2 linked regions of the Solanum lycopersicum genome follow. The protein of the gene in region 2 interacts with the protein of the main gene of each other region in a pairwise test. Links are inferred from orthologs where the notes say so. Each region holds a gene or a part of one and is shown on either strand. Other genes may lie near its edges.

Region 1 (3,696 bases), on a different chromosome or scaffold from region 2:
AAACAAGATTTCTCTCACACGTTATTATGACCACCCAGAATCGCATTGTGAAATCGTCTTTGGAGAAAATGGTCATGGAAGGGTGATTAGGCAATTGAAGTCAAAACTCGTGAAATAAAATCTCTTATAATGATGAGATAGTATTGATTACTATTTGGAATTTACCGAACCAATTTTTGATATGCTAAAACTACCGATAAAATTACATCTCATGTGATTGAGAAGGTCAAGAAAGTAATCTTTGAGCATGAGGGGAAATTTTATAGAATAAAACAGCAAATAAATAATACTTCTCATTAAAATAAAATGTAATATCCATGTAAATATAAGGGATGAATGCTATTACTTTGACGCAATAGTTAAATATATTCTACATGAACTTGCTATTAATTCTTTATTCTAATATTTAGGCCTTCTAAATTATTGCTATTAATTCTTTAATTTAAGATATTTTAATAGTTAGTTATTTGTTTCAATTCTCTTGTGGTTTAGGAATTAGGAGTCGTACTCCTGCCTCGTATAGATTTATGAGTTTTATCAGAAATTAAGAATGGGATCTTTGATAATGGACAATTCACATCCTAGGACAAAGATGACAATCTAAGTGAAATTGAATGGTGAAATGAAGCGAATTCATAAAATCTGCACAATCGTATAGTCTAATATTAATTTGGTATATTTGAATTCATCTTACACACATGTGATAAGTGTATGTTACGGTCCTCTAATGGATCTAGTTATGGGATGTTGCTAGACAAAATCAGAGTTAATGTAGAGTGATTTAGGAGTTTGAAAAGAATTTTTCTTCCTGCAATCTCTTGAGTTAAAGTACTCAAAAAATGGATAATTTTCTGCATATCATTACACTGGTGGATTATCCACCCATCTGAAAACAAGGAAATAACTTCCTACTTGAATTGAAATGAGAAAGTGGAGGAATAACTCCTTGTGGCAACAACTGCTACACAGAAATAGGAAAAATAAATAACTTATAAGCTGAAGTAATCTACTCTTTATTTTCCTTAAATCTTCCATGTGTAAACCGTCGGTAGACTAAAGGGGTGCTAAAGATGTAGGTGTTACAGTGTTTCTAGTATCTTCAGTAGCCTATACCATAGTATGGTGCTTTCTCTGTGAACCAAGAGATCTAGCCTATTTAATCTGGTGTTAAGTATTTTTTGAATTTAGATCATACAGTGAACTAGGTCTTCTTAAACACAATGAACACAAAATTCTTGTTTTCTTTTTTGCTTAATAATGTATAACAAAAATATTATAGATGCTCTTCGCATAACTAAAGATTGATAACCCAAATTTACTACTACTTCCATTTTAATTTATATGGCATTCTTTCTGTTTCATGACATCCTAAAATGTTTGATACAAGTCTTCATTAAGGGTAAGTTCGGAACTAAGTGTGAATACTCTATCTAATAGCTTATTTCTGATCTCGCTGTTTTTTGGGCATCACATTTGTTATGTCAAGATATGCAGTTTCAAAAAACTTTGTTATGTCAAGATAGGATTCTCAAATTAATTTGTACTACAACTTTTAGAACTTTAAAGAATTCAAATTTGTTTCACTATTCCATTTTTAAATTTGAGATGATGTCATCTTTATTGCACTAACTTTCCAATCATTACTTATTTACCTTGTAAAAAAAGAAGTTTTTCAAGCATTATTGCTTTTGCTTGGTAATAAAAAAAGGCATTTATTGCTTTTGCTATCACTGATATGATGCAAGAGTCAAACTATTTTTAAATTCAATGTCTAGTCAAACATCATATAAAATTAAACTGAGCTGGGAACAAATTTTCCCCTATCATTTCCGAAGACTTATTTCGATTTTTTTGAGTAGCAAGTCGTAGTTGAATAAGTTGAAATTGAAAGCATACTAAACATTGTGCCTTCAACACGCCCCTTCCCATGCTTACATGATTCTTTTCATGGTAAGCATGTGAAGTTCTTTTTGATACTTGACAGCAGTGAGACTCGAGTGGAGGACTTTAGCCAATCTGATAACATGTAGATTTGTGTGACACCTAATCTATTAGCTTAAGCTAATAGAACATACTTTTATTTAATTAATATTACGTCTTCAACAAATAATAACGTAGAGAGAAAAAATTTAAATTGATGGCTGGTAACGGGTAAGAATGCAGACTACACAACAAAGTAAGAAAAAACCTTGATGAGGTCAAATATAGTCTTATTTTGATCATTAAGTTCCTTTGGTAGCCTCTATGCTTTAAAATTGGAAGCGAAATTTAAAACATATGTTTCACAAGAAAATCTGAGTTGCATGAATGTTATGTTTTGGTTGATTCTGGCTCTGGAAATTCTGGCATGTGAAATATGTAATATGTTGAGAACTATGTACCTACTGTATTATCTCAAAAAACAAAAACTATGTTCCTACTGTTAGGTTGATTGCCATCGTAATATTTCAAGTCTGATTCTGGAACTGCAATGAGAATTCATTATGATGTTGCTGACAATGGGAATCCCAATATCCATGACGAAAGAGAATTCATGTGATATACTGAACGCAGCCTTGCTAGAGTTGCATTTTGATGGGTTTGTGTTTTGTTCTCTCATAAAAACCTTATACTTACTATCATCACATCTACCATTAATAAACCAATCTTTTGTCATGGATATTGGAATTTCTAGTGTCAGCAACATCATAATGAACATTTATATGCTTTGTACTTATATGCATATAATTATAGTTTACCACTCATTCACTTGCATAACTAAAAGGTTTGCTTCATTCATTGTACATTATATCTAAAACAGAATATTCTTTTACATCCTAGGGGAGATGGGTCCAGATTTTAGCCCAAAAATGTCAGTTAAATCTCTAACACCACAGCAAATAGTTCGCATCCATCAGTTGTTTCGTCAAGCCAAATTTGATGATCCCAGTGGTGATGTAAGTTCCTCTTTGTGAAATTCTTGCCTCTTTTCCAATATCCTTTAGCAACACCAAACTAAAAATGTTTGGTGATTCCCAGTTATCTCATGCATATGATTTCTAAGCCATATTGCAGATTTTAAGTCCCGCTGGAGAATATAATCTACGTCTTGGCATTATAAAGGAGCTGCACCCAGATATGGTTGCAACCTTTTCAGGAAGGTTGGATCATATATTAAGTTCTTCATCTACTTAGTTTGATGAATCCTTTGATTGGACAATACAAATCATAAAGTGTTTAAAGCTACTATGTCTTCTATCCAGTGCTCAAGTATTCGAAGGTCATCCATTTATCGTGGAAGCTGGAGTTAGTGTTGGTGGGAAAGATGTCAAACAAGTAAGAATCTCCCTTATGGTAAAGTATATAAAACATGGAGAACGTAATATTCTTAGTCCTGAAACTGATTGCATCTATTCAATATGTTGTATCTCCATTTAGAAGCAAAGGACCCATGAGAACGCATCTTTATCTGCATTTGTTAAGTATTTAAAGATGATTTGATTTAGGATATGTTTATCTGTTTGGTTGGGTCGGTATTTGTATAAACCAGTTGCACGAATCGACCATTGGTTTTTAGATATGCTCTCCTGTGAACCGAACTGATAAGATATCGGTTGGTTCGGTTTTCCGAGCAGTTTGGGTCGGACATGAATCTCTGCTGCAAATGTTCCCCATGGTCTTTGCCTTGCTTACTCTCCTCTGTAGCGTTTCTTCTCC
Region 2 (3,787 bases):
GCGTGCACTCTCCAACAAGGAAACCAGTGGTTTTGCAAAAAATGAGGATAACTAAGGAGTCACTGCAATCCTGGCTAACAAGAAGGTTAGATGCTTCTGTAGTGCAATGATGTACGAAACATGATATGTATAGATTTATACGAACTCTTTCTTTTCGTAGAGTTCTTTCATCCCTTTAACAGCCGAATAAACACTGTATATTCAATGATATACCACATGCTAAAAACTTCACATTTTACCATCAAATGTAAACAAAAGTAACAAAAGAAAATGATGTGTTCTTATTCTCGCACAATATATGTAGCTGCTTCATAACATTCCAATATTCTTGCATCATCGTGGATCAAAGAAAGCATCCTATCACAACTACACAACGGAAAAGACATGATATCTGCAAATCTTAACCTTACCTTTGTGGGGTAGAGAGGTTGTTTTCGGAAAGCATCCTGTAGCAACATATCCATCATAATCCCACAAGTCATCACAAGTAGGGCCTAGAGAGATAGGACGTACCCAAAAGTTATCCCCACCTTTGTGGGGTAGAGAGGTTGTTTCGGGAAAGCATCCTGTAACAAAACAACATATTCACTATAATCCCACAAGTCACATATAGGGTCTAGAGAGATAGGACGCATTCAAAAGTTATCACTACCTTTGTGGGGTAGAGAGGTCGACTCAAAAAAGCGCAATCAAACCAATCCACTCAAAATCATAAGAACGAAGATGCGTTAACACAACAAGACGCTCCCCATAAAAATACAGTAAACGAGATACAAGATATGCATTTAACTTTAGGCATAAATTAATACGATAAGATTGAAGTAGTTAAACAACAAGATTTGATTTTCATAGCCAATCTTGTTCTTGCAGCTTCAATGGCAAATATACTTCGGACAGATACTGAAATCCAAACGAACTCAACGCCTGAATCTCAGCCTTTTGCTTAGTCTTCACCATCAAATTCAACTCCTCAACCCACGCGGGATTCTTCTTCACAAAGTCCTCCTCCAACAAATCTTTCCCAGTCTTAATATCCTGTTCAGTCATTGGCAACCTACATTGCTCCGGTATCTTATACTTGTCCAAATCACTCGGTCTAATACCCAACCACTTGATATCCGGGGTAGTCAGATTCGCACTATCATATGACATATTCTTCGATCCACATCCGTACACTGACAAAATCTTCAACCCATAAGGATCACTATCCACCAATGCCAAAACCGGCAAATTCAGCTCCATCTTCATCTTCCTCAGAAACAACCTAGTTGCCACATCCGGTTGACCCTTTGCAGTCACGATTATACAAGGAAATCTATTGTAAAACCGATCTTCAGACAATCTCATAAACGCAGCATCCTTTTCGACTAACAATATGTACAATGCATCACTCTGCATATCACCAACTCTATCGATATTCGGAGGTATAGCTTTCCCTCCCATTCCCATTTTCGTACAATCAATCATATCGCCATTGTCACTAAAAATCAACCTTCCAACTACAACTCCTTTCTCAGCTGCAACCACATTCAAACTAGACCTAGTACATCCAACTATACACGAAACATCATCTAATACAGCATCAGACTGCGTCTGATCCTGAAACAACTTAACGTCGGTGTAGAAAAGATCACGCTTTGTGACATGAATGTTACTGGTGCAAAGCTGATGAACAAGCTGAAGGATTCTAAGAGTAATTGTTGCTTTACGAACAGTAGATACATTACCGAAGTTGCGAGCCGATGATTTGTCTTTGAGAACAATGCGGTCGAGTTCGGAGACATAGAGTTGGTTAGCGGCAGCGCGGGAAGGGACGGAGAAAGAGAAACCTTCACCGGAGAGTATGGATTTAGCTATAGTAAACGCTAACGATTCAATTTCGGACTGTACCTCATCGATTGGGAGGTCGGCGACTTCACGGCAGGTAGAGGAGAGGCCGACGTCGGAGAGGGATAGGGTTTTGGAAGTGGTGGAACAGGAGGATTTGAGTGCTTTTAGGGTTTGGAGGATGACGGAGTCGGGTTTGAGCTTGGATTGGAAAGGCCGGCTTTCGGAGTCGGAATCGGAGTCGTGAGCTGCTCGCCGGCGTTTCTTCTTGTCGGCCATCGGCGACGGGGATTAGGTGAAGCGGGAAATGACAATAAATGTGAGGATAGGTACTGTAGTGCTTAGGGCTTTGGTTAAAGTAAAGAAAATGGCAAAAATGGTCCCTAAAGTTCGGTATATGTCCAAAATAATCTCTTAAATATATTCTCGAATAATTTTCTGTCTTCGTTTCAAAAAGAATGTCTCTATTTTCTTTTTAGTTTGTTTTAAAAATAAGTCGAAAATTGATTCTTCCTGGGTCGATGCCCGAGGGGTTAATGGGGACGGACTGTAAATTCATTCGCAATATGTCTACGCGAATTTTCCCTTTTTTTTTTTTGCAACACTTTAATTTTAACTTTCCACGTGACATGTTTAAGACCACAAGATTAAAGTGCATTTTGATACATTTGACATAACTTTAATTTAGACCACAAGATTAAAATTTCTTATTTCTTTTTTTAAACTCCGTTCCAAGTCAAACTAGGTCATCCTTTTTTAAACGAAAAAAGTAGTTCATTTCAATTTATCAAATACTATCGTGCATCGAACTATCCTTTTTAATATTTGGGACAATAACAACAATAACAAAATATTTAGTATAATTCCACAGAACATGAGGAGGGTAGATACAAATCACATCACTAAGACTATATAGTGTGTATACACATTAACCATTAAAGGGGTAGAGAAAATGATGCATATATTAATCACCAAATTATATAAAAGTTGCTCATTCTTCACTCTCACGATGTGATGACAAATTTAAACGATATATACTTTTCTCCATATTTATAAACCAGTTTATCTATTTGAGATGTCTTCATGTGTAGATTTGTTCTTTTCTTCGCAAATAAAGAGTTGCTTGTTATTAATTTACTTCATTATAGTGACATTACACACAATTAAAAATAAAATACAAATGGTATTATATACTTATAAACAATAAAAATATCGTGTCTAGATACAGATTCAGCTAACTCAAGCAGTTTCTTTTCTTAAAACGAATTAATTTAGAAAGTTCATTAAATATGTACCGTATTACATTTAGGACTCAATTATCAATACTTAAAGCCATTTTCCTAAAATAGAAGCTATAGAATTAAAATTCCGACTCCACCTTGAACAACAATAAACTCCTCCTCCGTAAAAACTCTAACCAATGTAATAAAACAAGGGATGCATCTTGATTTTCTTTGCAACAAACATTTAAGATTTCTTTTATATCATATAGCACGAGAGAAAAGACATAAAGACACCATCAAAATTGTTTCGTATTTGCATAAAGAAGTGTCCTATTACCCCCACAGTGTCCTATCACCCCACCAAATTATTTAATATCTTTGTAAATGGATTATTTTGACCTCCTTATTTTGATTGGAAGAAGATGAAGAGGGTTTCATGCTAGGACAGATACAAGGATGGTAAGAATTGTAACAATGTGAGGGCGTTTTATAATAGGGAGGAACAAACCAGGACTTTCCTATATTCACAAGGATTTTGAATAGCTATTGGCCCAATATGTTTTGGACTTGGTTTACATTGTTATTTTGAAAACGGGAAACTTTCACATATAGCACTAAAAAATCTCATAAATTATCATTTGTAGCTACATGTTATACGGAGAAGAGAGACGAGCGAGAGTTGGATAAAGCTGAATTGTATATCTATATTGATTAAATTATTGTATATTATACATATG

The links.
Region 1: the proteins of DNA topoisomerase 6 subunit A (region 2) and DNA topoisomerase 6 subunit B interact in binary tests that used the Arabidopsis thaliana proteins (3 or more experiments, as listed by UniProt). The link is inferred for Solanum lycopersicum from reciprocal best matches to the Arabidopsis thaliana genes RHL2 and TOP6B.

Annotation. Positions count from the first base shown.
Region 1 is NC_090800.1:17,329,204-17,332,899, reverse strand, and holds part of DNA topoisomerase 6 subunit B, read left to right. Parts: intron 1-2,820; coding exon 2,821-2,936; intron 2,937-3,054; coding exon 3,055-3,140; intron 3,141-3,242; coding exon 3,243-3,315; intron 3,316-3,696. UniProt on the Arabidopsis thaliana protein: Component of the DNA topoisomerase VI involved in chromatin organization and progression of endoreduplication cycles. Relaxes both positive and negative superturns and exhibits a strong decatenase activity. The B subunit binds ATP.
Region 2 is NC_090808.1:1,314,228-1,318,014, forward strand, and holds DNA topoisomerase 6 subunit A, read right to left. Parts: upstream 2,213-3,787; 5' UTR 2,107-2,212; coding exon 847-2,106; 3' UTR 686-846; downstream 1-685. Other genes in the region: pentatricopeptide repeat-containing protein At5g02830, chloroplastic, read left to right, coding at 1-110. UniProt on the Arabidopsis thaliana protein: Component of the DNA topoisomerase VI involved in chromatin organization and progression of endoreduplication cycles. Relaxes both positive and negative superturns and exhibits a strong decatenase activity. Involved in cell-elongation processes.